4 linked regions of the Schizosaccharomyces pombe genome follow. Changing the gene in region 2 together with the main gene of any one other region gives a genetic interaction. Each region holds a gene or a part of one and is shown on either strand. Other genes may lie near its edges. The genes, in order: gga21, cfr1, end4 and apm1.

What was found.
Region 1: of cfr1 (region 2) and gga21, changing one enhances a phenotype caused by changing the other (phenotypic enhancement), as found in Schizosaccharomyces pombe (one study listed by BioGRID).
Region 3: mutations in cfr1 (region 2) and end4 impair growth when combined (synthetic growth defect), as found in Schizosaccharomyces pombe (one study listed by BioGRID).
Region 4: mutations in cfr1 (region 2) and apm1 impair growth when combined (synthetic growth defect), as found in Schizosaccharomyces pombe (one study listed by BioGRID).

What each region holds. Positions count from the first base shown.
Region 1 is NC_003424.3:621,173-625,924, forward strand, and holds gga21 (adaptin family protein), read left to right. Parts: upstream 1-1,950; 5' UTR 1,951-2,099; coding exon 2,100-2,133; exon of another isoform or gene 2,134-2,202; coding exon 2,203-2,290; exon of another isoform or gene 2,291-2,345; coding exon 2,346-2,421; exon of another isoform or gene 2,422-2,579; coding exon 2,580-3,914; 3' UTR 3,915-4,235; downstream 4,236-4,752. Other genes in the region: SSU-rRNA maturation protein Tsr3, read right to left, coding at 17-680, 817-1,019; mitotic and meiotic spindle pole body protein, gamma tubulin complex linker-related Spo15, read right to left, coding at 4,258-4,752.
Region 2 is NC_003424.3:3,268,320-3,272,896, reverse strand, and holds cfr1 (CHS5-like protein Cfr1), read right to left. Parts: upstream 2,701-4,577; 5' UTR 2,663-2,700; coding exon 800-2,662; 3' UTR 748-799; coding exon of another isoform or gene 632-747; 3' UTR 530-631; downstream 1-529. Other genes in the region: bouquet formation protein Bqt1, read left to right, coding at 198-480, 632-747; syb1 (synaptobrevin family receptor), read right to left, coding at 4,157-4,320, 4,385-4,577. UniProt on the Schizosaccharomyces pombe protein: Required for cell fusion, independently of fus1. Appears to have a role in transporting proteins that are involved in mating. May act as a scaffold to retain cell fusion proteins in the cisternae of the Golgi.
Region 3 is NC_003424.3:3,133,058-3,139,265, reverse strand, and holds end4 (clathrin adaptor End4), read right to left. Parts: upstream 4,280-6,208; 5' UTR 4,142-4,279; coding exon 833-4,141; 3' UTR 600-832; downstream 1-599. Other genes in the region: SPOM_SPAC688.12C (uncharacterized protein), read left to right, coding at 41-544; DNA polymerase zeta catalytic subunit Rev3, read right to left, coding at 4,946-6,208. UniProt on the Schizosaccharomyces pombe protein: Required for cellular morphogenesis and polarization of the cortical cytoskeleton. Required for establishment of new polarized growth zones where it acts in actin organization.
Region 4 is NC_003423.3:1,908,009-1,912,405, forward strand, and holds apm1 (AP-1 adaptor complex mu subunit Apm1), read left to right. Parts: upstream 1-2,132; 5' UTR 2,133-2,171; coding exon 2,172-2,233; exon of another isoform or gene 2,234-2,308; coding exon 2,309-2,414; exon of another isoform or gene 2,415-2,484; coding exon 2,485-3,132; intron 3,133-3,210; coding exon 3,211-3,675; 3' UTR 3,676-3,807; downstream 3,808-4,397. Other genes in the region: ribosome biogenesis protein Nop8, read left to right, coding at 124-1,560; fmo1 (flavin dependent monooxygenase), read right to left, coding at 4,128-4,397. UniProt on the Schizosaccharomyces pombe protein: Component of the adaptor complexes which link clathrin to receptors in coated vesicles. Clathrin-associated protein complexes are believed to interact with the cytoplasmic tails of membrane proteins, leading to their selection and concentration.

The sequences.
Region 1 (4,752 bases), 2.6 Mb from region 2:
CAAAAGTATATATCTTTTAGGTATCAGTAGAATGAACTTTCATTCTCACGATTTTTCGCCAGACTTCATCTTCATCCACATCGTTGGCTTGCAGATTAGTTAGAGTCTCTTCATTATCATCTGTTGGAATAGAGTGTTCGTCATGAGCCAATGAAGCTTCGGACGGTTCGTGTAATGGTGACCGAGATTCTTCAGAGTTTGAATGTGTTGAACTGGTGTTTAATGTTGGTTTGTGATTTAAATTTCCAGCTGACCAAATGTCGTCAGTAGTTTGATTTCTTTGTTCTTGGTAAGAAGCTTCCATTTCCTCCAAGTATTTTTTTTCTTTTTCTTGAATATCTTGAGCATCATGACATTGAGCATAAATATCGAGAAGTTCTTCGTTTACCTCAAAAAAAGAATGTCCCCATTTGAAATTATCCATTAAAAGTCTCGCCTCATTAGGATATCCGACAATATACATGCAAGCTGCCAGAGCTTCAGCACAATTTAATCGCCAAGGCCTACCATAGTTAACTGGATTGGAGGCCACTAAATATGGAAGCAACCGCTCACAGCGACCACCAATTCTAGAAAAAGGGATTTCCTCTATGCGAGCCCAAGAGCATTCAACTACACTAGCACCTCCATTATCAAAGTACTCCTTATCGGCTGGAGAAACAGGAACTTTTCCGTTTGGTCTGCAGCGTTAAAATCTGATACATAGCAAAATGGTAAAAAAATATTAATAATTAGTCTTAGTGCCCTTGCGCTGTATACAGCAAACATTCGACAAGAGTTTAAGATCGGGTTTCTTTCTAACGGTTCTCAACTTACGTTATTACAACTCCTCGAAACTTCTGTCCAATTCTAAGGTTTCGTACGCATCCTAGACGCTCTAATCGTTTACCAGAACAGGCATTTGGATTACAATGTCCAAAATCCCACATTGCTAAGGGTAATGGAAATTTGGATGCCTTGTTTGAACCCTTGAAGCCATCTTTGGCATTAGAACGACGATTAGAACTCCTTGGGCCCATATCCAAATATCGATGTTGAAAAGTGACACGCTGTTTGATGTAGGAAATCCGCCATATTTGGTGTGGGTGTTGTTATCAATCAATAATGCACTGTACCAATGCCGTGTTAAAAGTAATCATCTTCAGTAGCAATCGAGTATTAAGATGAGAGGAAATCTTTATCTATATACAATTCGACTACTTAATCAATTGACCGTCCCTCCTTCTTTTCAGAAAAATATTTCCTTACATTCATTAAAGATATGCTATTGAAAAGTGGATATTGCCCAAAAGTGGTTAATGTTCTCACTCTTGAGCGAGACAATGCAATGACATTAGTTTTTTGCATTTCTTGGCAAATCCAGGAAAAAGCCTCGCGGTAATATAAGAATGGTCAATTCTCGTAAAATGACCTTGTATGGCTGTTAATACTTTCATAGTTGTTCAAATAGAACTGTTACACAAAACTCGTTTACACACAATGTATTTTCCTCATGCTTTTTCAACGATATACAATTGTACAATTGTTCTCCTCGATCCATTTTAAAAATTTTGATACAAAATGAATAGTGAAAGTAATAGCAGAGCTACGTTTTCTTGTCAGTGTTTAATTATGGAACGTAACAACAGTGTTAGTTTCATTCTTCTTACACTTATCAGTTTCTGTGCTCGATAGTAAATTGTTTCATTCATGTAAAAATAATTAAATTCAATTGGATTTTAATTTTCAATTCGACACTAGCTACAGCAATAAACTGCGGATCAAAAATATGGCATGTAGCATATATTTGAAGAATTTTAGCAAGTTTTGGGAACTTGTTCTTTACATAAAGCTTTTCAGCTGAACCAGATATAACCGGGTTCTTATGGTGGTTTTAATCTTTACTCTACTATCGCATACCTTATTTGACTTAGAACTCGTTTGGTCTCTTGTTGGTAAACCAAGCCTCCCAACTTCCTTGACTGAAGAGTATACCTCAGACTTTTGCACAATTTTGTTTTTGGATTTTTTCTTTTTGTTTTAATTTTATTGGCTCTTCAAATCTGCGAATCTGCCTTCTGTTTTGTTTTTAGATCTAGAAAAATTTACTACTTATCACCATGCGCTCTAGCCAGACTTTATCAAAGTATATTGGTGAGTATTCTTTTGTGACGCTATATTTTACTGTTAAGATGGGAATATGAATCGCTGACAAGTAATTAGACAAAGCTACCGATCAATTCAATTTGGAGCCAAATTTGGCCTTGAATATAGAGATAGCGGACCTTATAAATGAAAAGAAAGGAAATACGTACGTGAATTAAGGATTTAATTCCTACAATTGCTTTGTTGCTGACTTTTCGCAGCCCACGTGAAGCAGCTTTATTGATTTTAAAGCGTGTCAACAGTGCAAATCCCACAGTTTCATATCTGGCTTTACATGTAAGTATATTCCTCTAGCCTTTGAGGAGAATGGTTGGTACCCATCAGTTTACGAATCTCTCCTTTATGTGCATGGTCAAGCGTTTATTGTTCACCATGGCGAGTCCAGAGTACTTTACGCTTTCTTGTGAGATATTTGGTTAACATAAGTGCTTTAGTTGCTCGATATTTGTGTAAAGAACTGCGGTTATCCATTTCACTTTCAGATCGCATCAGAAGAGTTTTTAAATGGATTCGTTTCACGATTCCCAAACCATCCCATCTCCCGAATGAATAAAATTCAATCTAAAATGCTAGAAATGCTAGAAGAGTGGAATTACATGCTTTGTAAAAACAATCGCCATCGTGAAGATTTTTCTCGCATTCACGACATTCGGGAGCTTATGGCTTTTCGTGGTTACAAGTTTCCTGCGGTAGACGAAGATTCCATTGCTGTCATGAAGCCTAATAATAGTCTTCGTTCTGCACAAGAATTAGCACGTGAAGATTTAGAAGCTCACAAAGCTAAATTGCAAGAATTGCTTCGACGAGGGACCCCCATGGATTTGGCTGAAGCCAATGCTCTTATGAAAGTAATAGCTGGCTATGATGAAGAGAATACTGAAGATTACTCTGCCTTGGCTGCTGCCGACCTTGAATCGATTAGATCAAAAGCACTTCGGGTAAAGCAATTTTTGGTTAATCAAACTGTATCTTTAGAAGAAGGCACGTTGGCGGATGCCGTTGAATCTTTAAAGGTTTACCAAACGAAAATAGCAAGAATTCTTCGAGAGGAAAATGAAGATGAATACTATGTGCAGAAACTTCTTTCGCTGAATGACCTACTTATTAACGTCATTGAAGAATGTTCCAACTCAGACTTAATACATTCCGGTACAAATGTAGTTTCCTCCCAACCGAATGTGGTTGAATCTCACGTACCTCCTTCTTCTAATGACACGAAACAAGAATCTTCGTTAATTGATTTGATGAAGCTTACTGAGGAACCTGCAGTCCCGTCCCCATCACTTCCAACCAATGTACCAGCCAACCAATCTCTGTCAATGTTATCATCCCTTTCTAACTCTATGTCGTCTACGTCGAATGGAGCTTTGAATTCACCTTCTTATAGTCAAGCAGCAATCCCCAACACTAATTCATCTTTGACATCTATTCTTCAATCTGATTCATTAATGATTTCTACTCAATTAACTTCGGTTCAAAAAAGCTCTGGCTTTGCTTCATACTCCGTTCAGTTCTCTAATTGCTCCCTTACCTGGCCAGTGTCCGAAGTAGTCTTCCAGGTCGCGGTTGTGAAATCTCTCAAGTTACAGCTACTTCCTCATACTGGGGATGCAATTATTGCCCCCGGAAAACAGAATGCTGCACACGAGATTATGAATATTACCAACATACCCGCCGATGCCTCTGATTTACGAATTCGTTGGAGAGTTCAGTGGATCATCGGTACAGATCATCGTGTAGAACAAGGCGAATCGCATCTTCCGCTGTAATTCTACGTGCGTTTTCTTCCATTTGCTCAACTAGATGAAGGAATATAAAAAAAGTGAAAACGTCAGTTGATATTACAGGTTTTATTATTTAATTAATGTGAGCCTCTGCGATTTGATAAATTAAACTATAAACTACGATAAAGCGAACTTTCCTTATTTTTAGAATTCTTTCCGCAATACCGATTTTAAATTTTTATAATACAAATGCCTTAACCAAAACCATTTTATTATATCTCTCAGTCAACATTATATGCTTCATAGTAATGAAAAATAAATTTAAAATTTATTTTTTATCGAAGCAAACCTTAAAATAGCCTCAATCATGTAGTTGTTAGTAAATCATTTAAACACAAGAGAGGTTCTCGATAACCTCTTCACAAAAAGAATGTCTTTGACCTAATAATCTCAAACGTTGCAGTGATATGACACATAATATTGCAGAACGTAACAATGACTGCTTGGTATTGGTAACCGGTATACTATAAGTAATTTGGGAATCTGGGTTAAACTTGGGAGAATCTCGAACCAAAAGATTGTGATATGCTGATTTAGACAACGCTAAAGACTTTCGGAAACTAATTTCTCGATTTAGTGCAAAATACAAAGCTTCAATCGATTTCCCAAGATTTTCAACCTTCTCAGAATAATTGTCAAATGTAGCTTGTTTTTCCTTTTCTTCTGCAGCGCATTTTTCAAGATCCTCTTTAAATTTGACAATGAATTCCGCACCCGCAAGGAACTGTAATTTAGCGACTTGTTGTTTGAAACTATCCAACACTTCCATTTCGACGCGATTAGTTTTGAAGAAATACCCAAAGTAGCCCTTCGGAAGTTGTTG
Region 2 (4,577 bases):
AAAGAAGTCGATTCCTATTCTTTTTTTTAATCTTTTTTGATTTCAAATTTACACTTTTAATAGGTTGTTGGCTTTAATGTCTATCCTCTTATTATTATATGTGGTGTGTTCATATTTTATGCACCTCTTCTTCTACAAACGACGCGTTTTAAAAAAAAATCCTTTCACCCATCCTAAATGATACTGATTTAAACAAAATGCATTTATTAACTACGACGCTTATTTCTTTTGAACAAAACAAAGTAGAATATTTAACCCAAATCGCGATTTATACTCAAACACCTGTATGCACTGATTCAAACTGTGAGCATGCTAGATTTTTAAAACACAGCCTTATTCAAGTTTCAATTGAAAGGATAGAATATTTATACTCGATATTTCCGAATATATGGCAATTCGCTTTGCTTTGCCAAGGTCAAAATAAAGAATCATTGATACATATGGAAGAAGACGCCAGCACGAATTTCAAACTACGATATTGTAAGTTCTGTCTATCAGTATAATGAAACATAATTTCAAAACCTCCCATTACCCATTTTTGACCTAGTTGATTTAATTTAAAAAAAAAAATTTATTAGAGAACGAAAAAAAAATCCGAAGCTATATATTTACTAATGCTAAATGAGTTTAGATGTACTTCCATGGTCTAGAAGACTGCAAGGATACCAGAGCATTACAGTTCAAAATGGTTCCCATGTGCCTTTAGTCAAACGATTGGAAAAGTGGAGGATATTCGTAGAATGTTAACATATAAACATAAGAAAAAAAAAAGACTGCAGAATACAAGAGATCAATGTCATTAATCAATGTTTACACTTTCAAACTCGTCAGAAGATTGTATAATTTCTGCTTCTTTGTTGGGTATTAGATTGTCATCAGCCGTAGGTTCCGAACTTTGCTTAACTGTAGTAATATTTAGATCTTCTTCTTTATCGAGCGCATTCAGTTGCAAGTTAGTAGTATGCGCTTTTTCTGGCTCTAAGACTTCAGAAACTTGAGGGATTTCCTCAATTGCACCGTTAGTACCAATATCTTCAGCTGCTGCGGGAGATGGCTTATCATCGTCTGAATTTTCCTTAGTATCTAAAGGGGCTTCGATTATTTTCTCATCTGTCAAGCCATTCGCATTTTCAGAATTAGCATTGTTTTTTTCAACCTCTTCGTTAGTTGCAGGTCCTTCTTGATTCAATAAAGATTTAACAGCGTTCTCTTCAATTATTTCGTTAGGTTCAGCTTCTTCCTCATTCGCTGAGGATTCAACAGTACTCTTTGTAACTGCTTCACCGGAGGTAGTTTCTTCTTGATTGATTAAAGATTCAGCGGCTGTATTATTTTCTTCTTTTTCATCTTCAAGTCCTTCAGTCTCCGGGGTATTGTTTTCTTCGTTCACGTTAATCTGCTCAACGGCTGGCAAAGAAGATGGTTTTTCTTGATGATTGTTAGCTTCAACTTCGGAAGTTTGCTGGGCAGCAGGTGTACTTTCCAGATTCGAATGTTCCTCAGCATCCTTTATTTGCATATCCTCTTCGGGATTTTCCTGCTTTGTAGAATTTTCTGGCTGATCCGCTTTGATGTTTTCCGAAGAAGTTGGAGCTTCATTGGGCTTACTAGAATCACTTCGTAAACCAATGTCGCTGGAAACATCGATTGATTGCTCAGCCTCAGTTTCAGGCGCTTCAGCCGGAACAGAAGCTGAACTAGATGGCTCAGCATTTGCACTATTTTGAGTTCCCTGTTGGGTTGTTTGCTGTGGAGCTTTAGCTGATGCAGCACCTTGAGCAACTTCAGCGGTATTCTTCGGTTGTTCGGTTGTAGCATTGAGATTTGGTGCAGCATTTTGCGCAGCTTCTACAGAATTAATAGAAGCGTTAGCATTGTAAGAAGCGCGATTTTCGATGTAAAAACCACTAACGTTCACCAAACGTCCTTCAGATTCGCATTTCAACAAATAATCCAAACCTAAAATAGGGATATTGGCAGCTTTTGCCTTTTCGTACTCAGGACCCCCAGTAGAAGAGCAGATAAAATGAGTTGTATCGATACGAACGCTAGTTTGAATTGGTCTAGCGTGAATGCGTTCAATACACTTTTGTAAAGCCTCCATCTCATTGGGAACCATGTTGCCAACACACACTTGAATTCCTGTGAGATCTATCATTCTTAACGTTTTGATGGTAATGTGTTTGCTGGGAAATGTTCCCGCAGTCGTATCCAAAACAAGGGAAAAATCGTATTCTGTATCGAGAGATAAGCCACTCAGCTTGGCATTGTGAGTAGTCATGGGATTAGATATGTTAAGCACTCGAACATTATTACGGTACAAGCAAAGGCTTTTGAGTCTCGCAGTGGAGAGTTGTAAAGGATCCCATTCCAATACAATGCTAGTCTGAGTAGCATTCTTTAACTTAAGAACAGGAGGAGACGGCAATTTTTGGCCATATGTTTCAAAAATTTCTTTTTGAACATCATCGAATGCAGTTTCTCTTGCTATCTCTTCCTCTTTATTGTGATGCACAGAGATATCGATTATAGAGCCTGCAGTCGCGTCATTCGGCAGCAACACGGATGGAAATTCTATAATATGAAATGAAGGTGTCAATAAGATGGCCATTCCCGCATCTATTTTGGCCACAGACACCATAAATTGATTTGTATCATCCATTTTAGATGCTATTATTGATAATCCCCTTTGGTTGTGGTGGAGTGTTTACCTTAACCAGCACTCTTACACTTCTAACTATAGGTAGCACTTGTTACCTAAGGAACCGTAGTAAAAATGTAGGTTATAATCATCTTTGTTTTGATAAATATCAAGAGTTGTTGTGATTCCCTGGTTTTTCACAATCTATTTACATATCAAACTTATATATTTTTTAAATTTTCTGGTTAGTATCATTATAAGCGTAATTCTAGTAAGGAAGACAATTACAATTTATTAAAATTATATACAAATATTTGAAGATATATTTAATTCAATCACTCAGTAAAAGTGAACGATTTAATATATGTAGTTTATTATTATATTTCAACGAGAATTCATACAAACAATATTACAAAAAAATCTGTTGATTTTTTCAATCATCTAAATTATTAAAATATTGGGCTATTATTATCTATTCTTCAGACTAAAGCATTTTAAGGGGAGCAAATATACTACTTTCTGATACAATTAAATTCTAAATTACGTTAAGTTACATTGATAGTAAACAAAAACAAATGCAGTACTGTTGAACCCAGTTGATGAATATATCTTAATTCGTAAACCGTGCTGCATTCAAAATTTAAAATACTACACGAATGAAGGATTAGACCACAATATCTGTTGAGCAAAATAGAAGTCGAAAAATAATACAATTGTTAATCTGGATATAAAACCACGTGTGAGCAAACTTAAAAAATATTTCCTAATTATCAGGTTTACACATTTCACTCTATAAAATTAATTAAGAATAGTGGTTTTTTAATACACCTATCAGTGCAATAATCAGTATAAAAAGAAGCTAGCTTCTAAAGGAAAAATATGAAAATAAGATAACAAATTTGCTCCCGTACTAAGTACTTTTGAAGAATTAGAAAAAAGCCGTAGACAAATGGAATATCGAGGCTAATCTGTATACATTAAAACATTATCCATCTTTATGCTATAGGGTTATCCATATAAAGAGCGGAATAGAAAAGAAATACCGAGAAGGAAACAAAAATTCTATTTACCATCTTAAGTACGGAAAGTAATGATAATTTTGTATCCATAAAGATTTCCTTTGTCAAGCAAGCAAGGCCCATGATATGTATGGTGAGGTGTAGAAAGAAGAAAAGAGGAAAAAGCAATACAGGCCAAAACCAAATTGCTCAACAAAAAACCAACCTGGTATTCACTATCATTGACCCGTCAGTCATCAAGTATGTATATGCAAGAAAAATAAAAACGAATAAAGGATCTTGAGAAAAAATGCGTTATCTCTTTGCAAAAAAAGTGGCCCTGTCTACATCAGAAGCTTTTTTCTTAAAATTCGATTTATAGGTTGTTGTGTCAGGCAAGAGAGAAAGAAAGAGAGAAGGAAGAAAAAAACCAGAGACAAAAATACGCTTGAAAAAAAAGTATTCAAACAGCAAATATTTTGACTCGGCATGCGACTAAGCTACATGATACATCTTCTTACTTGCCATGAAATTTTGTTGCGATAGGAACAATAATGACAACAAGTAAAATGATGATACCAATGATAATGCAAAGACGCATACGCATGTCCTTCCACCACATCTTCTTGCGAACACGATTGGCGCCACGACGGAAGCCTTGCGCGCTAACAGCAAGGTTATCTTAAAGAAGTTAGCTAAACGTTCAAAAAAAAAATTTAACTGTTAACAAAAATAAATATCATACCTGTTTTATCTTGTAAAGAATCAAGGCGTTCTCCACGTTCTGAAACCTTAGAAATGTTTTCACGCATAATCCCCACAGTATCGTCAATCTGCTGCTGAATTGCAGCTGTCTTCATATTCGGCGTCGACGAAGCAGCAGCATTTCCACTACGAACAGCTGCAGAAGGCTCCGCCGGGATATATGGGTCATATGG
Region 3 (6,208 bases), 140 kb from region 2:
GTTCTTCTTTTATATCTCCTATAATAGAAAATAAATTACAATGAGTGAAGAAGAATCTCCGTATCAATTGACAAAGACTTTCTCGAATCCGAAGAATAACAAAATTGGACTAGCTATTTTCCTTATTGGAGCATTTATCAATTTAATTCACATTTATAAGCCCAAGGGTCCTTCTAACAATCCCACGAAACGGAATTATCATATTTCATTTGGACCCCCTGGTAAAATTCGATGGTTTCCTTTGGGTATTCGTAAAGAAGTTCGTAGCAATGTGTCAGGCCGTGAGATCATCATTAAGATGATAATCACATTCATACTTGTTCAGACCACATTGATTACTTTAGATCTTTATGTTTTTGGCGCGACTGGTCTAGGTTTAATTCTTTCATGGAAACTATTCGAAGTTGCTTGCGCAAATCCTGAAGATGAGGCTCTACTGGCTGAAAGAAAACAGCGCTTAAAAGAACAACGAGAAAAGAAAGAACAAAAGAAGGAGCAAAAGAAAGAGAAAAAAACCGAGAGGAGGAAAAAGAAAAAGTTGTAGAAAAATAAATCTGGATTATGTTTGTTTTACTTTAAGAGATATAGTGCGGTAGGTTAGCCATTCTGCTTTGATCATTAGTATATCAGTAGGATCTACAAGTGTCACAATATGTAATGGTATTTATTTACATTTAAAATTTAAATATACTAATACTGCCTATTGGTCGGAAAAGAACGCAATGTATTTATCATCCCGTATCGACCTAGCAAAAATAGAAGCACTAATAGCTGAGTATTTAAGGCTTTCCAAAATTAATTCATAAAAATAAAAAGGATCGAAAAGACTTAATTACTCTTCGGCAACATGATAAGATGTTTTTCTCATATCAAAAAGACGACGTCGGGCAGCGACTAAATCATTTTCCAACTTCAAAATTTGCACCTGTTGCTCAATTTCTTTACGACGATATTCATGAACACCCAATGAAGAGAAGTCTTCATGCTGCACCTCTTTAGCTTTGAGAGCAACAGACTCCACTTGACGAACCAATGCCTTACAGGCCTCCGTAACAGCTTTCGCAGCATCCTCAAGATGATCTTGAACCTTAGAGGCGAAATTTGCTTTTACACGAGAGGCTGCAACCAATTGTGCAGTTGCGGCGCTAACACCATTACATGCGACAATCAAATGCTCAAAACTAGATGTACCGTTTACGACTCCATCAGCAGTTTCGATTAAAGTAGTTGTAGCACGCGCAACGGCTTTCGCAGCTGATATAAGGCCTTCCGTCCAGCGGTTATGTTTTTTATAAAATGCACCACGTGAACTGGAACCTCTTCCTTGAGCAACAATCTCTGCCTGTGAAGCAGTTGCTGCTTTAATTAATCTGGCAATAGCCTCGGTAATGGCAATTGATGCGCTTAACAAAGAATCGTGAACTTGCAGTTCTGAAGGGGACAAACTATCGTCTTTGGGTTTTGCTGCGATATTTTGTAATCTTAAAATAGCCTGTTGAATAGCCTGTGCTGTTTCCGCCAGTTGATTATCGACAAGTTCTTCAATGTTTTCACCGGGAGCATTGAGTAATCCCACAGTGTTTTCCGATTCTTTGTTCAGGAATTTTTCAGAGTACTGTGTAAGTTGTTGTAAATAGCGTTGTAACTCTATATTTTCACCAATTACAAGATCTGTTTTAACATTTACATCCATTTTTCTTGTGTTGACGGAAAATAAACTGGAAAGGAACCGTTTGGCCATATTTACCAAATCCCGAGATAAGCCAACAAACCGATCCGATCCTTGGTCGTCACCAGTTGTTCTACTTAAACCTTTAGCATTATTGGCAACTTCGTATATGGCCGTGGAGAAAAGATTGACTCCATTGATGACCTCAGAATGGTCAGCGTTAGGCCCATCAGCAAAATAGTTATTGAATGCTGTCGAAAAATCAGTAGCATTGTTACTAGCATTTTCAATAGTAGATAGAATAAATTCAGGAGTAGCATATTGATTACCGGCATGCATCGGTGAATCCAGTTCATACAAACTAGTGTCTAAACGTTGGATACCAGTAGCCAAAACAGAATCCACTATGTCATCAAGCTTCTCCAGCTGCGATTTCAAAAGCTCGTCAATTTGAGTATCCATCGCTTGATCAATGTCATTACGATCCAATTGTAATTTGCTAAGCTGTAACAGAGACTCGTCGACAGCTGCTTTTTGAATCTCCAGCTCTTCTTCCTTTTCCTGCAAAAGTTGGCGGTACCGATTTTCAGTAGACTTCAATTCAACACCTAAGTTGGCTAGCTCACGATCCTTTGAATGAAGAGCATCTTCTAAATGAGCAACTTCTGTATTATAACGACTAAGCAAATTTGATACTTCAGATGATTTATTGCGCTCAAGGGAAGCAGCCTTTTCCTGAAGTAAACGTAATTCACGCTCAGTGCTTTCTTGCTTGTCTCGTTGACTACGATGCATAGTCTCGAGTTCGTGACGAGCCCTGTCTCTTTCCAAAATCATATCAGCAAGTTCCAAGTTTTTATTCTTCATTTCTCTTTCCATTTTTTCTTTCTTGTCAATAGCCTCTTGCGCAGAACTTGCTTTGAGCTGAATTTGTTTATATTTCGAAAGTAAATCTAAGTGTTCCTGACGAAGTTGTGTATATAATTTGGCTAATGCTTCGTACTTGTTTTTCCATGTAAGAATCTGATTTTTTAAAGATTCAATAAGATCATCATTTTGATGTATTTGCTCCTGCAAGTTAACGCCAGCCTGGCTCAGCTCATTTTCAAGAGTTCTCACTCTAGCATCATATTGATTAAGTAACACATTGCTCTGTTCAAGTTGTCCTCGAGTAGCAAGAAGCTGTTGCTCAAGTTCAGCCAACTGTCCTTGTGTTTGCATTTGAAATTGTTGCTGAGCAAGTTGTTCTTGCGCAATACGCTGTTGTTCAGCTTGTGCCATTTGAATTGCCTCCAAGGCCTGCTGATGTTGCTGTGCGGCCATCCGTTGACGCTCCATTTCGGCAGCTTGCTGAGCTGCTAATTGAGCCTGCTGTGCTGCGGCCTGCTGAGCCGCTAACTCTGCTTGTTGTTGAGCAGCTTGCTGAGCCGCTTGCTGAGCAGCCAATTGTTGATCTAAAGTAGGATCAGACCAGAAATCTTGAATAGGTTCAGGTTCACTATAAGCCGGAGTAATGTCGCTAGTATCAGGAAAATTCATTTCAACCGGCGGAGATGGAGAAGTACCAGTAGGCTGAGGAGCAATGGTCGAGGCGCCAGTGGGTTGGGGAGCAATTGAAGCAGGTCTCTTAGGAAGATCAGGGATATTGTCATCACCTTCCAAATCGGGGGGATCATGTGGAAGACGAGGGACTGAAATGAGACTAGTCAAATATCGAAGATTTGAACAATCCGCGTAAAATTGACGAAGCCTATGGTGTTGTGACTTATATCTATGCTTCAAAGGTTCCAAAGTCTCTGGGGCATCAACTGTGCTATATAAAGCACGTAACATACTAGTTAAAAATCGATAAATACCATATGACTCCTGAACTAGAGGCACAAGGGCTGCAATTCTACATTCATTTTTATTTGAACGCTTGAAGTTAGAAAAAAGCTGTTTTTGAAATTCATCAATATGATCCTGAAGATTCATCATGTCGTATACAGTTTCATAACCTTCATTAGGGTCATCGACTTGCCTAAGACTAATGTATTCTTTATACTCAAAAGTACCATTAAATTCCGGATGTTGAGCATGAAAAGAAAGCTTATCAAGTAAATAATCCACATAATCACGAATTAAATCGCTATAGCCCTTTGGACTACTTTCACCATCATACTGTCGTTCACAAGTTTTAAGCCAGCCTTTCTCACTTTGAGAATCAACAAGTGCAGACTTATGACCTTCTTGCAAGACACGATGTATGGTAATTAACGCCTTGAAAGTTTGAACTTCGTTTGCAAGCAATGGCTGAACTTTTATAGCAGTCCAAAAAGGCCTGGCTGTATGATGATCCCAAGTGAAAATGATGCAGCTACGAACGTGCTTTCGCTTTGGGGCTGTTTCATCGATGCTAGTAGCCTTCCGCACGCTTGTCATCAACGATGCGTCTGACTGCATGTGATCGGATTGCAGTCGAAACGAACTCATCGTGTACTTTTCGATTTCTCACTTTTGGTAATTAAAAATTTGCCAATTCAAATCCTAACAATTTCTGGTAAAATACAAATATCGTAGTGCTATGTACAAGATTGTCTTCTGTCCGTTCTTACTATAGAAATTGGTTCTGTTTCAAAACTACGACATCCGTGTCCCGTACGAATTTTGATAATTACGAAGTAATTTGTCTCGCAAATATCAGCTACGTATTTCGGTATCTATTTTAACGATACTTAAAAACAGTATTGAATCTTCCTTGTGATTGTTATATTGCAATACGAGGTAATATAAGTAGCAATTGATGTAAGTATTCTAATACACATTATCTGTTACTTATCACTAACGTAGCTAAAAACCGATTCCCGTCCTCACTTCAGTTTATCTCAATATATAGTGTTAAGAATTTGAATGTAGTAAGTGATAGTTACTTTATCATAATTAGTAACCGTACCTTGATAACTTATCATGTCAAGTTGATAAATCAAAACAGTGCACTTGACATATAGTGACACGCGACGTAAAGTATCACAGCGTAGTATTGCGGACAGTAAAAAGTAAATAAAGAATTGCTACGCACCCTAGAATACGAAGAGGTTTACTAAATTTTAACTAAAAAAAAAAAATCCAATAACATGATGATATTAATATTTTTAGTTATCGATATAACCTTCTAAAAAAAATAAATAATTGTAATAAATAATACGTAGATGAATAAACTAGCAGGTGATAAGAGAACAAATGCCTGATGTATTTTAATTTCAAGTCCTTCACACCAATATTTGAAGTTATAATGATTTACCAGTCTAAAGAACCAAGAGTCTTCGTTAACATTTCTGCCTGTACTTTCGCATAATTCTCAGTTTTCGCCCTATCATAGTACACCTTACAGCTATTTGACTTGCAAAGAACTGGATCACTAGATGAAAGCTTACTGCAGCCTCGACAAATATCAAATAGCAAGGAAAGTTTTTTGTTATAAGCATTGTGCTGCGTAACAGCTTTAGAAATAGTAGCACAAGGATTTTTTAAGCAATCACTGCAGAGGGAGTTAATTTTATCAGGAATAATTTCAATATTATTCTTCAAGCAAGAAGAGCAAAGCTTCTCCATCAGAAAAGTGTCCAAAGTCTTTTTTTGAATACCTCCTTTCACTGTTTCAGTCAATTTTAAACTGGTACGTGGTTTGGGCATTTCATGATACCATGACTGGGCACTAGCCCCTAACAAGTTTAGAAATCGATCTAATGGAGGTATCAAACTATTGTTGATATAATAATTTATATCAAGTTGAGAAAAACTCGAAGACAGAAATTCTTCGGGTGCAACTGAGCGGTTCGCCAAGGTGGTACCAGGAGCAGCAGCGATAATCAAATATGGAACACGTTCTCCATATTGAGGTTCCCTCCTAGGATCTTTGGTCATCAACCGTCTAGCCATAACTGCTCCAGGAGGAGCAGTACTTAATTCTTTATATTTTTCTAGACGAACTTCTTTTGAAAAACAAAAATCCATAACAGGAACGTTTCCACTCATAATTTGATAACATACGTTCTGAAATTCTTTTTTGACCGTTGACAAATCCTTTGTCTTAAAAAGTATTTCAAGGCAACGACGAAGGAGCTGCTGTTGAACAGGAGTACCATCCCTTCGAACTGTCTCAATGCCTTTCGCTTCAAAAATTGGAGCTTTTTGACTAACTGATTCAAATTTGAACCCTACATATCTTTTTTTCGCTAACAAGAAACAAGGAAAGTAAATTTTTTCAAATTTAAGTCGAATTGGAGAAGGAAATCTGGAAGTAATGTTGTTTGCTAGCTGCTGTCCGATGTCGAAAGCTTGCTCTTTAGTCGCTCCAGGTAATTCAACAAATAAGCTATCGGTATCACCATAAACGACCTTTGCATGACAAAAATCTAAAGTATTTATGTATTCTAGTGAATAGCTAAGTATCTCACGTCCTGTTTCCACAATAGTATCTGCGATTTCTGAACACGGCATTCTTCCTGAAAATGACGCTGAAGTATATCCGTAAGTTACGTTTGCAATCAATTTTAGGGC
Region 4 (4,397 bases), on a different chromosome or scaffold from region 2:
CTAAATAGCTATCTGGTAGCGATTGGTAGACTATTTTTTCGGGTTTATTTCCCATTATATTTCAGACACTCTTTTTGACCTGCGAAACTTTTTGTCCTCATTTTGTATCAATTGACTTCAATAATGGAGTTAGAAAAACGGATTTATGTTGGTGGCCTTTCATCCTCTATTGAATCTTCAGATTTGGAATCCAGATTTTCTCGTTTTGGAAGTGTTTCAAATCTTGAAATTATAAACAAATCTACTCCAGTAGGAACTATACAACGATTTGCATACTTGAATTTTCGAACAGATGAAGATAAATGGCAGAAATGCAAGTCTTACTTATCAAATGCGACGTTTAAAGGAAGTAAACTTCGTATAGAGGAAGCTCGCCCTTATTATTTAGTAAAATTGCAGCAGGAAAAAAAAATTGCTGATCTTCAAAGTACTAATAATGATGAGAAAAATGAAGATCACTCCAGCAAAGTTGATCTGGAAGACCCAGTCTTTCATGGAGAAATAATTGTTCCCGGAAAACATAGTAAAAATATGCAGGTGGTCACGGATTCTGATGTTCGGAAGGATCCTCCTAGAAAAGGTTGGAAAAAAGGCCCCTATGGAAGGGCCATTGTCGTGCTTCGAATGTATAATAAAAATACTAAGAAAACGAGGTTTTTTTATCCGCTGGGTAAAAACTGCTTACAAAAACTATGGGGCCGAGTGGAAACGAATATGGACAATACTACAGCTTTTTATGATTCTGATCATGATGAGTATGTATCATATGGGGGTAAGAGAGCTTCTCGTGACAAAATACGTATGCAAGCAAAATTGGGTATCAAAGCTTCTACTCAGAAGGATGATAACGATTTTGAACTTCTTAATAACACAACTGGGGAGATTGAAGTCACAAAAGAATTAAACGAAGAGCAATTGGATGCTTTGCGAAAAAAAGATAAGGATACGGCTGCATCTGTGTTAGCTGAACTGTTTGGTTCTGAAAATACAGAAGAAATTGATACCGTATCTAAAACTTCAGGTGTTTTGGAACTGGACAATGATTCGACTAATAATTTCCAAAAAGAAGGTTTGGATGAACAAGATAATTTACAAAAGGAAGAGTCCGTACACATAGATGTTCCTGCTGAATTTGAAGCATTTGATGAGCGTACTGCTGTTGTTAACGTTGACAATTTAAAAGAAATGTTTTCTTCCAATGCGCAGGATACGTCTAAGTTTTCTCTTTTTGGCAATGAAAATGGAGTTGGTGAGGAAAGTGAAATGGAAAGTGAGATTGATGACCGTAATTACGAAACTATGGAAGAAGAGGCAGATGGGGAAACTCCGCTAGCTATAGTTAAAGCCTCATCGGGTACCAAGGGTTGGCCAAAAATGTTTACTCTACCCAATCCTTCTTCCCTATTCCAACCAGGTAATGAAGATTATACGAGCAGAGAAGCTCTTGAATCCTGGTGGTCGGAAAATCGTCTATTCTTAACTCGTGATTACAAACGAAAAAGAAAAGATGCCGTAAAAAGACAGCGAAGGGCTCATGAAAAGCGTATTCGACTTGTTTAAAGACGCGTATAGGTTATGTATTTATTGGGAATTTATTTGGGTATTTTAAGGTTACGAGGTATATATTGATTTTTTACACACTTTTGGAATCTTTACGTTGTTATTTCTCTATCCTTTTTATTTTAGAAAAAAATCTGTGTCTTTTTAAAAAGCCACGATGTTCACTTTGGTTTTATCATTGGTGAAAGTTAACAACTTTTTTCGTTGCACTTTCTTGGGATTTGTGGCTTTTAATATTTACAATGTTTGAGATCAAATTTTATTAAAATATTTGTTATTCTTATTGTTATAAGCCAAAGTTGTCAAATAAAACATACCGAAATTTTCTTACATTGTCAGAAAAATTATTTTCCTTTTCGGCATTTACAAAACCATATAATGTAAATTAGTTATAATTATCTGAATAGATTATCTTATAAAAGAAGACTGAATGTGTGCATAGAGTAGTAATTACTCAATATAAGAAGAATTTCGTACTATATGTAAGAAACAGAAATAGTGAATTACGCTGTATTACACTAGCGGTGCTTAGGCACGGTGATGAGGCAGCCAACAGTCAATGCTAGTTATCCAGAGCGAAACTAGCTGCCTTATTCGCGGCTTCTGTAAAAATGGCTTCTGCTATATTCGTTCTGAATTTAAAGGGAAAGGTAATCATTTCCCGTGATTACCGGTAGGCAATTTTGAAATCTGAATGAAAATCAGATTGTCGCAATTCGTCGACAGGTTACTAACAGAAAACAATTAGAGCTGATATCCCCATGTCAGTAGTTGAAAAGTTTTTACCTTTAAAATCAGAAGTTGAAGAAGAACAAGGATTCTCCACCCCTTGTCTCACTCACGAAGGCATTAACGTATGTAAAAGTTAGATATTATGAAAGCCAACAATTCTTATTTTTTTATGGTCGTACTAACACTTTTCAGTACATTTACATTCACCATAATGATGTCTACCTCCTTGCTTTATCCAAAATGAATTCCGATGCAATGGAGATGCTAGTATTTTTGCGTAAAATGGCGGACGTTTTTATAGATTACTTTAAAGAATTGCAGGAAGAGTCGATTCGAGATAACTTTGTTCTTGTTTATGAATTGTTAGACGAGATCATGGATTTCGGTTTTCCACAAACAACTGAAACAAAAATCTTGCAAGAATACATCACTCAAACCTCAAATACGGTAAAAAAGCATGCTCCACCCCCCATTGCTATGACAAATGCTATCTCCTGGCGTTCTGAAGGAATTCACTATCGTAAGAATGAAGTATTTTTGGACGTTATTGAATCAGTTAATTTAATTGCTGCTGCCGATGGTACGGTCATTCAAAGTGAAATCTTAGGAAAAGTTCGTCTCAAATGCTACTTATCAGGAATGCCTGAACTTCGTCTTGGGCTCAATGACAAGGTCCTTTTCGAAGCGGCTGGTCGTACCATTAAAGGAAACACTGTGGAAATGGAAGATGTGAAATTTCACCAATGTGTTCGTCTTGCTCGATTTGAAAACGATCGTACAATTTCGTTCATTCCTCCTGATGGCGAATTTGATTTAATGTCCTATCGCATGAGTTCAAATGTAAGTTATTAGTTTGTGCCTGTTCTTTTTATTCCCTCTCTCCTTTATCAACGTTTTCTAATATTAATTTCTCGTTAGGTACGGCCATTAATTTGGGTTGAATGTGAATCCATCGTGCATTCAGGTTCGAGAATTGAGTTTATGGTAAAAGCTAAGGCTCAATTCAAAAAGCGTTGTATTGCAAATAATGTCCAAATCATCATTCCCGTTCCGGAAGATGCTGACAGTCCTCGGTTTCAAACTAGCAATGGTCATGTGCAATATGCACCTGAACAAGCTGCCATGGTTTGGAACATTAAGAAATTTGCAGGTGGTAAAGAATTTTTCATGCGTGCTGAAATGGGTTTACCAAGTGTTAAAAATGAAGATATTCAAGTTCAGAAAAAACGTCCTGTTCAACTAAAATTTGCTATTCCCTATTTCACTACCTCAGGGATCCAAGTTCGTTATTTAAAAATCACCGAACCAAAACTTAATTATCATGCTATGCCTTGGGTTCGATATGTTACACAAAATGGTACTGAATATTCCATCCGTCAGTAAATGTTTCTAATGATGGTTCTCCGTTCCGTTCTTTTTTCTACCTTTAGATACCTTTCCCTTCATCTATATATTTGTTTTCTTAGTGTACTGATCCCATTTATTACGAAATGAAATCTTGTTTGCAGACGCGCTAATCCTTTTTCTTACTCAGCTGACATAAAAGGAGCATTTGCTTGAAACATAAATGTCTAAGTCTATTTATTGTATAAAGGATAAGTTCAATGTTTTTATTAAAACAGAAATAAAGATTTTCTAACATACAATTCCATTTACTCAGTAGTGAATCTCCGTGTATTAAAAATACATAAAAGACAGATTGTTCCAAACGGTTTTCTAAACATAATAAATTAAAAACCAAAAGCGAGAGAATGAGAGGGAGACCGGATAGTAAGAAAAAGATTGAAGGGAAAAGTTTAAAGGTCTAAGGGTGTAATGAGTTTTCAAGTACGTATTTACTTTGGAGGTTCAATTCCGAAAAACTTAGCACGGATGGACCACATGTTTTCACGGATGCTTCGTTCCTTCTCGCCCCAATACGGTGACGGAAACTCTTCTTCAAGAACAGGTGTAGCCTGTTTACACCAGTCGTGTAGCTTGTTAATGTAGGTAGCGTCTTTTGGATAATCCAAAGAGTGATACATATTATTTGCTCCACTCAGCGAAAACATTAATTCGTCTTGCCATTTCAGCTGCTCTTCTTTGCTGGGTAATTTGAGGCGACC